2 linked regions of the Oreochromis niloticus genome follow. The protein of the gene in region 1 purifies or fractionates together with the protein of each later gene. This does not show direct contact. Links are inferred from orthologs where the notes say so. Each region holds a gene or a part of one and is shown on either strand. Other genes may lie near its edges.

Region 1 (9,241 bases):
AAGTTTCTTATTTAGTACAAGTAAGCATGAAATGCTGTCTACTTTACTTTTACTTTTCTACTTCCAATACTGAAGAAATCAACACCATCAGAGCTTAATAACTATTGACCAGTTGACCTCATTTCTCATGTAATCAAGGTACTGGAAGACTAGTCTTGGATCTACTACATGCTTCCAAAAGCTTACTCATATCTAGATAGTAATGGCTGCAGAGTGAGGATGACCTTTGATTTCAAGTGAATTTAATACCATCCACCTGATGCTGATGCTACAGGAAATGTCAGTAAGCACATCCACCATCTCATGGATGACTGACTGTGTGACTAGATATAAGACAGTGAGATGGTCTCTCTGGTCTTACACACATATAATAGCAGGGAAAAGCTACATAACCTGTGTCTCTTATGGAATAGGATGTAGATGTAGTAGGGATATACAGGCACCACAGTGACCACATCAACAACGGGCTGAATGGGAAGACCAGTACAGAGGCTTTATAGAAGACGCAGGTGAGCAGGTTCTATTTTCTTGGAAAGCTCTGATCCTTAAATCCTAAAATGCTGGATAGCTTTAATCACCCATTTGTGGCCAACACAGTGTACCTTGTGATGGTCTTCTAGAGGAGCAGCATCTGAGCTGGTGACACCAACTGATAAAATGATCATGGAGGCTGGTTCTGTGGCTAGAAACTGGACACTTTTAAAGATATGTATTATATATCCATAGTTCCTAGATGCTTTGCATATAATCTGCACCTGGGTGAACTGGCATAGTAGCATTCAATTATGAAATTAGTTTTCTGTCATAATCATGAAAACATAATCCAAGCAAATTATTTCATTTCACAGGTGCATGTATTCAATGCCACTCAATACAATTTGTTAAATAAAGTTTGCCAAATTATTATCAACAGTCATTGTTTACTGTGTAGCTGTGGAAACCCTGACACCTGTCACTGGATTATGCTGAAGAAACCAGTCCAAAGACAGTTGACTCAAGCCAGCAGGATTTCACTGTGAGCACAAACAGCTACCTGCAGGAGTGTGACACTGTAGCAGCGTGTGCAATGGTTTCTTTGTGCGCTGCTAAGCTCTACCCCTGCAGAATCTTGAATGTATGCCTGAGCAATTTAAATGGGTGAGTAGCATCTGTGCCTGTGAAATGAAATTATTTATTGATGTTTTTTCCCATGCAACGTATAACAGAAAAATAATTCCATTGAATCAGTTCCCTGTTTTTAGTCCTTGTATGGCTTGTTGCAGTCGTCCACTTGTTATTAGCATTTCTTGGTTTCCCTGATGCAGACCTTGTTCAATCCGATGGCAAGGTTTTATGACTTTAGTTACTTGTATTTATTATTGTGCTATCTACTGTACAATATAAAGCGCCTTGAGGCGACTTTTGTTGTGATTTGGCGCTATATTAATAAAATTGAATTGAATTGAATTCTCTCTCCCTCATGTTCTGAGCAATCATTTATTTTACTGGTGCTCTGCATGGGCTTCAACCCCTTAAGCCAGCTCATCACTAATAATAGGTATTGATATAGAGTTAGGAGTGGAGTGACCATCAGCCACCTCCTGCACACGGAAACAGGTCCTAAGCACCATATTCATAAAGGGGGGAGCCTACCACAGCCAACAGCACTCAAGTTGCAGATTTTGCACAGGTACCCCAGACATCATCTAACACACAGTGGCAGAATGTAAGATGCAAGCTGGGAAAGCATTCGCAGAGCAGCTTGGATTATAAAGAATTAATAAACCACCGAAGGTTGTATGAGGGGAGCTCAAGTTTCAATCAAGATTCATATTACTCACGCACAAGACGCTCAGTGCTACAGACAGATGATGTATGACTCACCTACAAAACACTGAAGCTTGCTGTCCCACAGCGGCGCTGCCCTCACACCATTAGCCACCAGAGCAAAGAAAGCCTTCTTCACCTGCCAAACAAACACCCAGTCATTGAAACAATGAGCATGTGTTGCAACTGTGGCTTGTTTTACTGGCAAAATAAAAGGATGTGTTGTGAACATTAGACCTGCAGTGTTGTGTCAAAGATGACCAGTTTGGAGCTGGTTGGGATGGCATCGTAGCAGGAGTGACTCTTCATGAAGTTCATGTAAATGAATGTGTCAGTCTGGACCTGTGGAGAAGAGCAGGTGTTGCTTATGTAAAGCCACCGACAAATAAGAAATATAATATACACTACTGTTAAAAATGTTGGTTTAATGTTGGGTATTTATATGAGGGGTTTTTATTGTTTGTTTTTTAATAAGGGCATCATAATGTTTTCCACAAAAAAAAGATTATATGTTCTTCAAGCTTGGGTCTAACAGTGTTTTCAGAGTTTGAGGATGCTGACAGTATCTGCAGTCTTCTGGACAGAGATGTGATGTTTGGACCACCTTTTACATCTACTCTGGTTATTTCTTTGGCCCCTGGTAAGTTTTGATTTGCTCGTGCTCCTTCTTTCCTTGATTTTACTGGTAGCTGGGACTGCTGCATCTACAATCCCAATTCCAAAAACAGTGAGACATTTAGTAAGACATTAAAGATACTAAAATACAAAAAAAGGACCAGGGCAACAGGGCAATTTTACCACTGTGTAGCAATATTTGAAAATAGCAACTGTGCAGTTTCAATACTTGTAAAGTAACCAGAAACAGTGGATCAAGTATGCAGCAGAATAAATATTATTGAGAATTCAGCAAACACAATCCACATCTCCCCGTCTGATTTCTTTTCCGTTTTCAGGACATATATATGTGCTGCAACCTGGTACCTGTAACATTAGCTTTAACCATATTGTGTATATTTATAAATTCATTGATTAACCCTAAAGCCTCAAGTCATCACTATTTCAGTTAAGAGTCTGTCCCTGACTTTCTACTGCTGTTCAGATTACACCTGGAATTTAATTGTGTAAACAAGGTTGCGCATTATTTTATAAAGTAATTATCAGAATCAGAATACATTATTAATCCCTAAGGAAACTGTGTGGTTACAGTTGCTTCAAGACAGTAAGAACAGTAACAATCTGAACTAATTAAATAATACAGTACATTACAAAGTTAAAAAAAAATATAAGAAATAGCTCTAATATATACAAATGACTATACAAATATCCAGAATACTACAGAGGTTAAATATATATGTTTGGCATTTGACTCCAAACTTCAAACTGTAAACTCTGTTATTTGTTATTTTCACTGTAAAGGATGTGGGTATAACTATTGTACAGTGTACTGTCCATTAGATGGAGGAGTTGTGCAGAGAGACAGTCACAGGCAGGAATGATTTCCTGTGTCGTTCAGTGGTGCATTATGGGTAATCTCAGTATGTCAGTGAAGGCGCTCCTGTGACTGGCCAGCACATCATGGAGTGGGTGGGAGGTGTTGTCCAGCATTGTCCTTATCACCTTATCCTTAACATCTGCCTCTCAGACACCACCTTAAGGGAGTCCAGCTCCATCCCCACAACATTACTGGCTTTGTGATCAGTTTATTGAGTCTGTCGGCATCTGCGGCCCTCAACCTGCTGCCCCAGCATGCAGCAGCATAGAGGATGGCACTGGCCACAACAGACTCATAGAAAATCCTGAGTATTGTCTGACAGATGTTAAAAGACCTCAGGTGACAACTCTGACCCTTCCTGTAGACTGCAGTGGTATTTTTAACCCAGTCCAGTTCATTATCTATGTGTAATCTGAGGTAATGTAAAAGTAGTTCCAGTGTTTTTCCTTAGCAACTTTTCAAAGTCACGTACAACAAACAGCAGCACACAGAGGTGCAAGGTGGAGTGTTAGGACAGTGTCTTACCTCTGCCAGAGATTCCATAGCCTGCAAACAACAGCAATAAGATGTCTGCACCTGTAGAATCACACTGACCCGCAAAACCCTGGGCATCAAAATGACAGACAGCAGCACTCTGACGGACTGTCTACCTGGAGGACCTGTGAGACTTTGCTACCAAGTCAGATAAAGAGGTGTTGAAAGACTCCAGGCATGGTGAGAAGGACGGGAAACTGGACAAACTGAAAGAGGGAGACAAATTGCTCCGTGAAGCTTGAGACAGCTGGGACAGAATGTCTGGGAAAGACTGAAGTCTAAATCTGGACTGAAGTGTGAGAGTGGCATTTAGAGGGACAGAGGAAGAGTGGGTGGAGATGGGGGGGTATTGCCTTATTAACATTTGTAGCATGTATGAGATGTCTGTATATCCAGTAATCCACCCTTTCCTCCAAGTATGGTCACCTCTGTCTCCATGAGAGCAGCCAAAGTGCCAACATTTATACTGGCTCTTGAGTGCAGACTCGAGAACAGTGGATGATACAGCAATGACAACATCCAGCTACGGTAGCAACCAGCGGCACTTCAGCACATCCATTAGCTTCAATTTCAAGTTTTTCATTGAGTTTGTGTGTTTTTAAGATTAACTAGCAGATCATTAGACATGCTTCAACAGTAGACCTAACTGCTCTGCCCAAAGTGTAATTTCTTCTGTTAAAGGATTTTACATTACTTTTAGTTTTGTAATGTTTCTAATTTTTGTGAAACAGCTGCTAGTAATATTAGCTAATATTTGTCTTGATGTATGCTCAATCATCCAGGTAAGTAAATCCCAGAGGTTGATTCTTCTCCTCCAAGTCAAGATGAGCTGAACCACAACATTTTTTAGCTAATATTACTTTGATTTTAAATGTGGAAATGTTCATATTGTAGCTTACATTTTTAATAACCAACTTTGATGTAGGGCTTTTAATGAGGTGCATTTAATTTCTCCCAGGATAGCTGAACTTTATATTTCTGTGTTACAGAAAAAAAGAAGTGCTCAGTACAGCTTTAAGACTTTGCTGGTACTACTGTGGGAGACATTCAAGGTTTACTGGGCCAGTAACTATTTATAAATCTAGTAGACCATCTCCTACTTTGCACCGTAGTCAGTTTACATGCAGCCTCTAACATCACTAAACACATAATCAACATTTTTAAAGAAGCGATTTAAAATTTGCCAAAAACCCCTTTGAAACCTGAAACCATGTGTTCTCTCTTAATTTCCAACAAAACATAACAAAATAAACTCTGCAGTTTGTTGACTAAAAATGAAGAAACTGTTGGCTAACGCACACAGATTCAACACTTCTTCTCAGGAGGTGTTAAGTACAGCTCAAACATGTAGATCATTCTCTGAATCCAGTTTACATTCTAATTCAGATTCACAGCCAGCTTGTACAACGTCGTGCTAATAATAACTGCAGGTGTCCAAACAGGCTGTGCTGCTGGTTACAGGAGACCTCAGATATTAATAGTTTACAGCTATTTACAGAGTCCTTTTAAAATGTTGTCAGAGTATCACAGCTGGGTGTCTGTGTTACAGTTGCAAAGAAAAGTTGTCAACGCCCTGAAAATGCACAGAAGCTGCAGTGATTGGACGGAAGAACAAACACAATGTGATTAAACTAAAAAACAGCAAATTTGTAAAATCTATGTCTGCAAAAAGTGAATAAAGGTGAACATCAGAACACATCTGTGGAGAGATGCGAAACTTAACCACTTTTTGGTTAAATGAGATGAGATGAGCCTTTTTTTTTGTTGAAAAACTACAATGCTGTTGTTTAAGAAATGGCAGCCCAGAATCCCACCGTTGGTGATTCATGTTTGAATAGAGTCAATCTAGAGTGGGTCAAAACTCGCAACAACCCAGAAATACTCAAATAGTTTCATTGGGTGGTCGCATAATCCATTCTCATAAACCACTTAGAAAAATACAAAGGACTTTGATCATTTAAAAGAATTTTGTTTTGCATTGGAGTGCTATGACTTGTTAGAGCAGTGAAACGAATGAAATATAAGGCGTCAAAAAAATTATTCGAAAAAAATACAAATATATATAATATAAAAATCATCATTGCAGATCAGTGCCAGTAACAGTAACACAGATTATTATTCATATTTATGGAGTTTTCCTTGTTTTTTCATTATTAGTTCGTTTACGCAGCAAATAAAAAGACACTCCCACTCCCACTTGCCTACACTTGCAGTGCAGTAGTTCTTGCAGACTCTCCACAGCTGGAGCAAATGGTTACTGTTCCCCTGTAGAAGAGCGCGGTCCGAGGAACAGCAAAGATACTGAACAGGCCTCTGGTAGAGAGGCCTGAAGGATAAAGACCGCCCAACGGAGAGAGTGGAAATATAATATATACATGTATATGTTTGATCCTGGAATCCTGGATTTTTTTTATTAAGAATGTCTCAGTACATTTTTCTATTCATCTTTTCTTGAGTTACATGAAGCATGACAGTCCCATATGCTGAAAGACAGCCCACAAGCATTGACTGATTGATTGATTGAGCCGTTTATTTGTCACAAGCAATGTTACACGTACATGCAGTGAAATAGGACCCCTTCCAACCATACATACATGCACAAAGATGACGTTGGGTAAGACAGGTCGGAGCGAGGTAGGATGGTAAGAAAAACAATTAAATACACAATACATGAGGGGACAGGAGGGAAAAAAGAACTCCACCCAGACTGAGCTACTGAGAGGAGAGCAGAACAGAACAAAACCTTCAGCACAATGAAGCACATGACTCTTCACACCTTACAACATAAAAAACACATGGGGTTTGGGAGAGAGGCGATGTAGAGCCATCTGGTCCTGCAGCCGGACCCTGGCCCTGTACACAGACCTGCCTGACTGCATCGGGTGGAAGTTTGAAGGCGTTTGGGGAGGTTATTGTATATCTGTCGGAGTACATGTGTATGTGTGCGTGTGTGTCCTATATCCAACTTGAGAGAGAGTGCCCTTTCACCTAGCTTTAAGCAAAAGTCAACAGTCCCCCAGCCGACGCAGGTGACCTTGAGGAAGTAGGAGGGTAGGGCAGAGAGTCATACACCGTCTTGTAATCTGGGAGGATTTGTTGTTCCAGCTTTGGCCCTGGAGCTTCCAGCTGGCGAGGGGAGGCTGTGTGAAGATAGGGGTTGTTTGGGTTTGGTTTAGGCCGAAAAAAACTGCATTCTAATTCCGCAGTTGATCTAATGTCCATCACTGGTCCCACGTCTATCGATTTCCTGTTGCAGAGTTGCAAGCTTCTCCATGATTTTATCCATGTTGCGTTCAGTAAGCGCAGTCTGAGTACTCATTGCTCTACCCACTGCATCAGTCATGCCGGCCAGTCTTATGGGATTTTGAGCACTGTAACCACTTTCATTAGTCGTCGATAAGCCAGGGCCATGCCAGCTCCAATTAGCAAGAACCCCGTTATAATGGTTCCAAATAGGTAGATGTCTTCAACGTCCTCCATCGACAGTGTTGCCAGGCACAAGACCCACCACTTTCCCCAGCCGTCCATCGTGTATCCAGCAGCAAACGTCCCCGCAGGACATTCAGGCTCACCCGAGCCCGGGCTTCTCATTGAGAAGAGCATGTCAGTTGCGTTAAGAGACCAGCTGATCAAATCCATAATTTCTTGATTTTAGAGAACAAGACGGAGAGAATCGCTGAGAATTAGACAAGACGAGACAAGGACAAAAGAAGCCAAGCAGGAAATAAAAGGGAGGGAGGGAGGGAGGGAGGGAGGAAGATGCGACCGCCTCTGTTGAGAGCCAAGCCTTTATTGTTAGTATGGTATATTGAGATGATATGCAGTGCCCTTTGACCTCCAAACATGATGGCAGCTTCCACAGTGTTTGAGCAAAGCTAAAATCATATTTCTGGGTAAGTTTTGATGTCCTTATGACTGGACAGGGCTATGAAAGCCCCTCGCTCATTTTAGAGACACTCACCAGCTTTGTTTAACATAGATCATCAAAGTCCATCCATAAACATGCCTGTTACGCCCCTGACTGTATTTTTGTGATACGCTCATGTTTCCACTGTTCTAGCTACTTAACACGAGTCAGTACAGCGACATGCTGTCACCACCATGTAACTGTTCATAGTTGGACCCGTTCTAGGGTATTTGAGGAAGGACCTTTATTGTGAAATCAATACATTTACAATGGTAATCTTTTTTTCTCTCACACACTCAGCAGTCATCAAAAGCTAATTTACAATTAGCAGCAGCCTCAAGTGTTATCATCTGCAGAGATCTGGACATGAAACGTCTCCATTATTAAAATAAAGTTTTAACTTGACCTGTAAGAATCTGCAGCCTCTGAAAATCTTTCTGTATTAGTCTGCACTCAGAACAAACAACAAGCAGCAACTCACATATGTGTTCATTATTGTTTGTTCTCCAGAAAACTTTGATATCATCAATGTTCATATTGTTCATTGTGTTATTGTTCCGACAGTCCAAGGTGACGTCTAGAACAACATGCTTCATATAATGCATGTAAGAATGCGCCTGTGTCAGCGTGGCAACATCAGGCAGAAAAGAGTGATTTTATATTGTGGAAGTGCTAACATGTAAATTAGCAATGTATGCAATGTTGCCATTTGTTACAGTATAGTAAGACAACAAAATATCTTTTTCTACACGATATATATGAATGCTGTTGTGATCAAGCCCTGATGGGTATAACAACAAAAACGTACTGCAAGAGCAGCACTATTGTATCCAGCAGTGCAACATGTGTGAACACTTATGAAGAGCGTTGTCGTTGCAAATCCTTGGTCGGACCTGTGAGACAGTCTGTGGTCTGTGATCTGACCGACCATGTCAGGACAGATTAGCTCCACCAGCGTCTTCTGTTACGCCCCAGTCTAGGGGTACAGGAACGTAACATAAGAGTTAAAAAAGGAGCTTGTGGGATGGTTGCAGCAGCTTCTGCTCCCACATCCACCACCAAACCTCCAGTCGCATCAACCAGCCGAGGTTTCGACTTTGCAATTACCCCTTTATCCAACAGCTATGCTGTCAGACACTGCTTAATTTCTGCCTTTTTAGCATTCAAAGGTATACTAACATTAAACAAATTTGTCACCAACAACAAATCTGACTTTGTGCATCGATCCAACTTATCCATGGTGGGTCGTTGCACAAAATCATCCACGTCAAAAGTAATTGTGGCTAGTTTACCCCCAACACTACAAGAAAACTGCCAACCAAAAACTGTAGACAACCTACAAAACACAATGAGCAAAAAGAACGGCAAAAGAAAAGAGCGGATGAGCCCCCACTTTATGTTACGCCCCAGTCTAGGGGTACAGGAATGTAACATAAGAGTTAAAAAAGGAAGTGACCCCGCCCTGGGTCCCAAAACCATACACAGAAAAACCAATTTCTTAG
Region 2 (9,830 bases), on another chromosome or scaffold:
ACATGAAAATGGAGAGTCCTCTTCACACACTAAGGTCAATTATGGTGTTCCACAGGGTTCGGTGCTAGGACCAATTCTATTTACATTATACATGCTTCCCTTAGGCAGCATCATTAGAAGACATAGCATAAATTTTCACTGCTATGCAGATGATACGCAGCTCTATCTATCCATGAAGCCAGGTAACACACACCAATTAGTTAAACTGCAGGAATGTCTTAAAGACATAAAGACCTGGATGGCCGCTAACTTTCTGCTTCTTAATTCAGATAAAACTGAGGTTATTGTACTCGGCCCTGAAAATCTTAGAAATATGGTATCTAAGCAGATTCTTACTCTGGATGGCATTACCTTGGCCTCCAGTAACACTGTGAGAAACCTTGGAGTCATTTTTGACCAGGACATGTCCTTCAACGCACATATTAAACAAATATGTAAGACTGCTTTCTTCCATTTGCGCAACATCTCTAAAATTAGAAATATTCTGTCTCAGAGTGATGCTGAAAAACTAGTTCATGCATTCATTACTTCCAGGCTGGACTACTGTAATTCATTATTATCAGGATGTCCTAAAAACTCGCTGAAAAGCCTTCAGCTGATCCAAAATGCTGCAGCAAGAGTACTGACAGGGACTAGAAAGAGAGAGCATATTTCTCCTGTTTTGGCTTCCCTTCATTGGCTTCCTGTTAAATCCAGAATTGAATTCAAAATCCTGCTCCTCACATACAAGGTCTTAAATAATCAGGCCCCATCTTATCTTAATGACCTTGTAGTACCATATCACCCTATTAGAGCACTTCGCTCTCGCTCTGCAGGCCTACTTGTTGTTCCTAGAGTATTTAAAAGTAGAATGGGAGGCAGAGCCTTCAGTTTTCAGGCCCCTCTTCTGTGGAACCAGCTTCCAGTTTGGATTCAGGAGACAGACACTATCTCTACTTTCAAGATTAGGCTTAAAACTTTCCTTTTTGTTAAAGCATATAGTTAGGGCTGGATCAGGTGACCCTGAATCCTCCCTTAGTAATGCTGCAATAGACGTAGGCTGCCGGGGATTCCCATGATGCGGATTTTTTTCTTAAGTATTTTTATTCATCTTTTCATGCCTAAAGATGAATAAAAATACTTAAGAAAAAAATCCTGATTGAGATTGTCATAATTCATGCATGACACGGTTAAATAACAATAATTACAATGAAACATGTCATACCTCTATAGTAACATTAAATGACCAGTGGGTGGCAGGGTATGTAGTGACACATCAGCGTCCAGTGTAGTGGTTTATGCGCAAATATACCATCAACACTGACACAAATACAAGAAAACAGCCTTTGAATAGCTGTCCACTATAGTAGCATTAATATCACTTTGACTTTCAGATCAATCCATAGACCTTGAGGGCAAGGTCAGAGGCCAAGTATGACATGTTTTAAATCATTATACAGTACTTTCTATATATTGACAATACACTGCACACTTAGAATCATAGCTTCTAAGTTATAAGGCTTTTTGTCAGTTTTTGACCAATAAATCATTAAATTGACCTTGAAGACCTCGGTGGATGTAAATTTTAATTCATGGGGTGTGACATGATCCCACTCTAAAATTACAGAGTTCTTTTATTCATTTAAAACTTTAATAATATATATAGCCTATTTAATAGTATTCACCTCTACACCCACCAGCTGATCTTGGGTTATTCCTCCCACAAAGCTGATAAATGAATTCTCCACTGTTATTGTTTCTTACCTCGTAAAGACACCCCGCTCCTTGCCCTCTTTCCTCTTCTCTGCCAGAGAGACAAACACGGTCTCCATGCTTTGCATAGTTTCGGTCACTTTCTGGTGGTCTGATCGGATCCCCTGGACCTCCTCTCTAGCTTGGTGGTCGTAGGACAGCCCTCCCTCCTCCACCCCGCTGGAGGTGGACACCGCCTGCAGGGCCGCCCTGTTCTGCAGAACAAGCAGACGAGACCTGGCAAACTCTTTGGGTCCTGCTATGTTTTCCCAGCAGATTGGAGATGATGGAGGGAGCCAGAAGCGCTGTGTGCAGTTGACTGGCTTTTCTGAGGACTCTGTTGTGAAGGGGCTGTCAGCGGGGAAGCTGTGGAGCAGGTGCAGAAGAGACGATCCAGAGCCCCACTCCCAGTCCTCGAAATCCGACTCCCCTGACCCTTGCTCAGGGGGGAAACTAGGAGGAGGACTTGCTGGTCCTCCATCCTCTGCTGGAGAACAGATCCCCAACAGGAGGCAGAAGGACAGGCAGAGCCAAGCCCTGCTCACTGTCCCCTGGAGCATCTCCAAACTGACTGCATTAAAAAGAAAAAGACTTAGACACGCAGGAATCACCAGAGAAAATCCATTCACTATGATTATTATCAAGTATTCTCATACTTAAACTTCATGTACAAGAGAAAACTACTGTGTGAAGGGCAAGAAATTTCTACTGATCAATAGAAACATGAAAAATAACACTGAGACCTCTTGATTGCATGCATTCAGTGACATAACATTCAAAATAAAAGCATGAAGTTTATTAAGTTCAATAGCAAATAAGCTTAAATAAATTTCTTATTAAATTACACCAAAAAATAAATCCTGTACAAAACCAGAGAACATACATTTGTGTTTTTTTCTCCTGCAGTTTAACCGGAAATTTGCCTCAGTTTGGGTAGCGTCATAGTTGGCAACAAATCAAAACTGCAAACGCATCACTGAAGGAAATCCTGAACTCCAGATCACCGCGATGTTTTTTTTTTGTTTTTTTTTTTACGGATGTAATCTGAATTTTCATTTTAAGTTGACTTTTGTTCAGCGGTCTTACCTTACAGAGAGAGCACAGAGCACAGAGCGGTCTCTGTTTGTGCGTAGCGGCGCTCCTCTGGTGCCTGCAGCCGTCGGAAAAAATGAGTCGTTCACTGCAGACTGTTACATGCAATCTGAATCACTTTTACTGGCCCGGTAACAGCAGAATCAGGAGCTTGGATTTTTCCTCAGTGGAAGGGGATGGGATGGGAGATTGTAAAATGCATGTGAGGTGTGGGTTACAGTAAAAACTCCCTGCTGGAGGGAGAGAGCGCCATTCTCTGCATCGTATCCCTGCTTTGATGTGTATTTACTTCTGTGTGAGCTTCATTTTCTATGCTCATTTGTGCTTTACTTCTTTTGTGAAGACTTTTTGATTTGAGTGACAGGGGGAGAAGGATGTGCGATGCTGTATTTATGAGCCATTTACAACATCCTAAACAGCTACAGCAACACGCTCGAATTAAAACACCAAATCTGCTTCTTAAACTAGCTGTTCTGAAACCATCCCTGAGTTACACTTGAACACGATGCTACCCTGAAGTTACTGGAGAGAAAAGAGTTTCAAAAAGTACCCAGACTGTCCATGAGCTCAAAACTCATGCAGAGCATCTGTAGTTATTTAGCGAGTTTTTTGAATGACCAGAGAGTGGATCTACACAGCCTGAGGCTTTCACCCTGACATAAGCTGCAAGGAATGGGACACATTTTGGCACAAACAAGCCAGGGTTTTGCAATTTAAGGGGAATGACGAGCAGTTTTCTGAAAACAAACACTAAATTTGAGGATGAATTGTAAAACATAAAAAGGGTGGGACTTAAAAGCATTACACCACCATGAGGTCCTGTTTATGCCATAAATCACTGGTTTAGCTTAAGTTTGCCTGCTGCCTCGCAAAGTAAAGTTTTTAAAGGTATTCACTGGGTATTTTAGTAAAATGTAAAAATAACATGACAATAATAAGAAGCCGAATAAAGTTAAAATATTAATTCCACTTTGTTTACATGGTTCAGTAACACTTCATTTATTTGATCTGTTTGTAAGAGTTGACTACTTTTATAGTAATTTTGTATCTTTATACTATTGTTGTCACCAAAAAGTGATCTAATGTGACTTTGACCTTATTAAAAAAGTATCTACACACAGAAATATACATTTTTACAAGCTTTTATCGTGGTTTGGATTGTCTGGAAACAAACGGCACATTTGAGAGAAAAACCAACACTATTATTCCCTTGATGGAAAGATTTCACTTTATGAGCATGTGTGCTGGAAAATATTGTGATTTACTTTTAATTTTTCTTTTCAGTGAGAGAGATCAAAGCTTAAATTTTACAATCCCAATTCTGAAAAATTTGGGATGCTGGAAAACATGTCGTCAGATGTTTAAACTGAGAAAGTGCATCTTTTTCAGTCAAACTGAAAAAGGAGTGCTGTTTATAGTATGAACAGTCGGCTCTATAAAGGCCATCTGTGTGGTTCACATGTTTGTATAATTGTGTCCAAATGTTGTAAATACAGTGAAAAGCAAAGTCCAAAACTGACTCTGAAATAAAGAGAAATCTGAGTCACAATACTTTGAAAATTCTGGCAAAAGCCCTGATCACTTGTATGTTTATTTATTTATTTTGGGGGGTTGTTATATCTGAGGCTATTAAATGCCCAGAAGTTTTTCTTTTGCAATTCATACTACACTAAAGTAATAGATAGACAAATATAAAGACATTTCTAAAGGACCAACATTTTTTTAAATGATGATTTATTATTTTATGACTCTCTTGTGGTTGTAATTGCAGGACAGTCTGAGCAGTGAGCTATCAGAACCTTTTCCCGCAGGTTTTTTTAGTTTTCTGTAATGATTTCTTTCATTGACTGCAGCAGCATTCCTTTATCATGTACAATGCTGTACTGAGACTTACCATTATAACTGCACTTCTTATTCTTGTATTAAATGGGATTAAAAGTGCAGTTAAACATCTTTACACAGGCAGAAAACGGCAGGTATGCTTAACAGTTACTTAATTTTGGTACTCGTGGTCCTCCATATTGTAAAATGAGTTTGCCACCCCTGGTCTACATAAAAAACACAACACAGCGGGACTTTGCTGTGTGATACGGAAGCGTAGTACGGAAGCGTAGAGCTACGGAAGCGTAGAGCTGCCACCCAGGCAAAAGAAAAATAGAAGTATATCACGTTATAACGTGAAAAGTTTATTGTTCTAACAAGATACTTTTCATGTTTGTACAATATACTATCATGTTTGTACAATATACTATGTTTGTACAATATACTTTTGACGTTTGAACAACATAATATCACGTTATTACAATATTCATAAATATCACGTTCGTACAATATATTTATATTGTACGAACGTGATAATTATGCATATAATTATTGTTCAAACTTTTGACGTTTGAACAATATAATATCACGTTATTACAATATGCATAATTATCACGTTCGTACAATATAAATATATTGTACGAACGTGATATTTATGTATATTGTAATAACGTGATATTATATTGTTCAAACGTCAAAAGTATATTGTACAAACATGAAAAGTATCTTGTTAGAACAATAAACTTTTCACGTTATAACGTGATATACTTCTATTTTTCTTTTGCCTGGGTGGCAGCTCTACGCTTCCGTAGCTCTACGCTTCCGTAGTGTGAACCTGACAATAGTAAAATATGGTGCGAGCGTGCTCTGACTGCACTGCCCCGGACCTCAGTAATCCCACGGTGACATCTAGCGGCAACAGCTGTGAGTTGCTGCTTTTTCTTATCCCACCGTTTAAACTCTCAAACTTTATCGTCACGTATGGATTTCATTAATGTTGTTGTTATTCTTAGGCTTAAATATGAATAAATCTGTATTTGGGGTATTAAAGGGAACAACGCATTTTAAATCAATGCAGTTTATCAGGAAAAAATTAAAAAATTCCTTCAGTGTGCACCAGCATGAACTCTGCCCATGCCCGGGGCCATATCTTAGAGGGGCGGGGACCACCGCGGAGCTCCTCCCCCTCCAGGCTGCCGTCAGCGGGGCTGCTGCTGCTGCTGGACCGGAGCGAGTCGGCACCAACAACCAGCCTCTGGCTGCTCCTCCGTGCTGAGGGAAAACTCGGTGCAGCCAGGAGCCACCCCGTCATTTATCACGGTCAACGACATGGCCTCCGACGGCATGGACGAGCGATCTCCGCTGCTGTCGGGCCCCAACTCCGAGAATGTGACCCCGACAGCTCCCCCGTACCTGCAGGATTCAAGTCCCCGAGGTAAACACGCCACACGCAGCACCCCGCCGCCTGCATGCTGAATCATTTTCAGGGCGTATCGAGTTTGTGTGAGTGCGTAAATAAAGCTGCAGCAAGGCGAGGCAAGGGCATTGCTGGGAAATCAGTCGGCAGCTGACTGAAAGGTGGAGCTTGCACTGTGAGAACTGGAGCAGTGGGTTATGTAGAAGGGGCCTGCGGTAATACCAGCAGTAGCATCAAACAGTGTTTTCAGTGCAGAGATTTCTACATCACGATTCACTGGGGCCTGCCGTGACTTTGGCTAGCAAAAAAAAAAGAAAAAAAAAAAGGTGTGAGCTGAAGCTCTGCAAAGCCTCAGTAGATTTTAGGTTGAATGTTGACGTGGGAGCACTGAGGCATTGCAGATGGAGGCAGGCGAAGCATCCTTTTGTCCAGCTGCAGATCAACAAAAGCACCCACAGGTGTGCCCTTTACGGGAGAAATAATGCAACACGAGTTAAATGTCGTATTCTCCTGTTTTAATGATGGCAGCTGTGAGTTTTGCTCGTTTGCATGGTGAATGCACTGTAAGCGACGAGCTTGAGCCTTCTTGCATGATTTGCATCTTTCATACAGCAGAAAACATAAACATGTAAGTTACAGCCCACAGTGCTTGTTCTCAGGACTGGCAGCAGCTGTCTGCACTGACCTTTGCTCTGAATATAATCTCCTCAAATTCTCAATTTATTCTTCTCCACAAGAAGAAAGACGAAGCAAAGTGCTTGTGGGAGCTGCAAAAATGCATGATCTCACATAGAGCCCTCCTTGTGTTTTGCTGGCATTAAATATTGATTCAGGCTTTACTTTCACCTCAGATCACATTCTCTTGTCTGAGGATTAGATTTTGAGTGCTACTTTCAGTGGTATTTGACTTTTTTTCCCCTGTTTCCGCTTCTAAGTTTTTGTCAGCGGCCTGACAGAAACAACGTTTCTTTGCTTTGCAGCAGCTCGGGATGGTCGGCAGCAAATGAATGGACTCATTGACCGTGTAAATCAGTTTAAGGAGCATTTCAGGCCAATTTCAAACAAACAGAGGAGAGAAAGAGAGAGAGAAGTGCTTGTTGTTCTCGAGACGTCTAATCCCACAGAATTCATATTTCACCACGGGATTAAACTCTTAATGCTGGACTGTAATAATCTAGGAAGCGAGAGCCTGGCTGGATGCTAACACAGTGACACAGTTTCTCCCTCCACCCTCTCTGCAGACTGGATTATTGGCTAATTCCAGTGTGGGTTTGTAAAATGGATTAATTTGATCCTAAGATGCCAAAACTGTGACATTTCCCGGAAACACAATGACTGTGACGCTGCTTTGACTAATGAGCAGCTGCATTAAGGCACTAAAGTGAGCTGTGGCTTGAATTTAAATTTTTATGATATCCATGTAATACTTGTTGTGTTCACTGAAATGATTCTGTAGTAGCAGGTAGAAATTCAGTGGCTGCTGCTTGTTTTTTTTAATTTTGCCCTAAAATAATCAAAGAAAAACAAACGGTCTGCCTCGTTTAAAATGAAGCTTTACCAGCTTCACATTATCAGGACTAATTAGTCCAAGGTGAAGTCATGAAACATCAGCAAATATGTTAACAGGTTTCTTTATATGAAGAGATCCAGTTACCCTGCTATTACAGTACCGAAATAGAAAGGTCTGATTCTTCTTGTTAGCAACTCATGGTCACTTTATTAGGTACACCTGTTCAACCGGTCATTAATGCAAATATCTAATCAGCCAGTTGCATGGCACTAACTCGGTGCATTGATGCATGTAGACATGAAGACGACTAACTGAGAATCAAACTGGAGAAGAAGGGTGGTTTAAGTGACTCTGAATGTGGCATTGTTGTTGGAGTCAGACGAGCTGGTTTGAGTATTTCAGAAACTGCTCATCTACTGAGATTTTCCCCACACAACCGTCTCTACAATTTACAGAGATTTGTCAGAAAGTGAGAACAAATCCTGATCTGATAGAATGTCAATAGCAACTGAAAAAAGCAATCAACCAAGATATGGAGAAGAGGATCTCTGAATGCAGAACATTTTGAACCTTGAAGCAGATGAGCGACAGCAGCAGAAGATCATCGCAGGTGAGACTCCTGTCAGCTAATAACAGGAAACTGAGACTACAGTTCACACAAGCTCACCAAACATGGACAATAGAAGACTGGAAAAACATTGACTTGTGTGATGAGACTTGATGTTAGATGGTAAGGTTACTGACCACATCCATCGCTTTATGACCGCAGTGTACCCAGCCTCAGATGTTTGCTTCCAGCAGGATAACACACAATGCCATAAACAGGTTTCTTGAACATGACAGTGAGTTCACTGTGCAGGCGACAGATTTGCAGCAACTGTGTGATGCCATCATGTCAATATGGACATTACACCATGGAGAAAGCGCCTTGTTGAAGCCACGAAGAACTAAGGAAGCTCTAAAGGCAAAAAAAAGGGGTCCCATAAAATCCTGGAAAGGTGTACCTAATAAAGTGTCTGGCAAGTGTATATAAATTCAGTTACATTAGTATGAAAAATCTGTTACTTCACTTTCTCATTAAAAAAACACTGTTATCTTGTTTTGTTTTGTTAGTAGTAGAAACTCTCAGTGTCATGTTTATCATGAAAACACAAAGTTAAAAATATTAACTTGCTGATTCCACCATTAAAGAACTGCCTCCAAAGAGAGAGCAGCTACTGTGTGGAAGTGGGTGGGTTACAAGAACATGTGACTTAATGTGACCAATGACGAGTCTTTATCACAGGTCAGTGGAAGAGAAAAAGTAATTCAGTCTAGTTAAAATAAACAGAAATGATATTTGCAGTCATCAGTTATCAGTCACGGATTTGCAAACAGAGCCGGCCGAACTCAATGCCCTGTCTGACTGATCAACACTAATCAGACGAGTGGAGGAGCTTTATTGATATCTGGCTGAACTGTTCATAGGTGCAAGCTGCCCAAGTTATAATTGGCCAAGATGACTGAGGCAAAGAACTGCCCAGCCTGGAAAGACTCCTCCAGGAATAAAGAGATCAGCTGTCGAGACATGCTGTCCTTTAGTAAATGAACACAACAGGAGACACGGTACAATAACATTGATCTTAACATGATAAAAGCGGACTTATCATCTGAATCAGAGCAGCACTTTATTAGAAGAAAACCCAACGATTAGACACAACGTAACCAAAATGTTTAGATTAATAATTTATTGTAATAGTGTAAAACACGGATGTAATTAAGGCACATTGTTTGCAATTTTTATACTGTGTCTTACACACATGCACTAAATGTCTACTAACTTAGCTGCTTTAGGAGATAACTAGATTTTCTTTCAAATTAACCCTCAAATTTGTTGCCAGATTTTAAAGACTTTAGATTAAGTCTAAAATGTTGGCTGTAGTGAGGGATGGCCAGACGGATTGTAGTGTCGGTAAAACTGTAGAATTATTTTATGATTAAAGAGATTATTTTTTTCTGGCCACACAGAAAGGTCTCCAGAGCTGCTGGTGTCTGAATACCAGATGTTCAGCTTGGCATTCTATCCCGCAAACCACAAGTGAAGTCATCGAGTCGATACCCTTAAAGCAGAACTGTATGTTGTGGCGTTGGTGGTGGTTGCAGCAGAGTCTTCTCGTCTTTCTTCTGGCTCCTCGTGAAAACCTATAGCTGCTGTCTTCAGTGTCAGACGTGCATTAAGACACACAAAGCAGCAAGAGGAGGAGAAACAGACCTGAGACT

Evidence for each region.
Region 2: the proteins of prkag3b (region 1) and pip4p2 purify together in Homo sapiens (affinity purification with mass spectrometry; 3 studies listed by BioGRID and IntAct, with this or other methods). This does not show direct contact. The link is inferred for Oreochromis niloticus from reciprocal best matches to the Homo sapiens genes PRKAG3 and PIP4P2.

What each region holds. Positions count from the first base shown.
Region 1 is NC_031987.2:36,015,086-36,024,326, forward strand, and holds the start of prkag3b (5'-AMP-activated protein kinase subunit gamma-3b), read right to left. Parts: upstream 4,140-9,241; 5' UTR 3,911-4,139; coding exon 3,824-3,910; intron 2,149-3,823; coding exon 2,044-2,148; intron 1,946-2,043; coding exon 1,864-1,945; intron 1-1,863. UniProt on the Homo sapiens protein: AMP/ATP-binding subunit of AMP-activated protein kinase (AMPK), an energy sensor protein kinase that plays a key role in regulating cellular energy metabolism.
Region 2 is NC_031985.2:21,130,748-21,140,577, reverse strand, and holds the start of pip4p2 (type 2 phosphatidylinositol 4,5-bisphosphate 4-phosphatase), read left to right. Parts: upstream 1-5,791; 5' UTR 5,792-5,973; coding exon 5,974-6,079; intron 6,080-9,830. Other genes in the region: uncharacterized protein si:ch211-57n23.1, read right to left, coding at 1,744-2,291. UniProt on the Homo sapiens protein: Catalyzes the hydrolysis of phosphatidylinositol-4,5-bisphosphate (PtdIns-4,5-P2) to phosphatidylinositol-4-phosphate (PtdIns-4-P).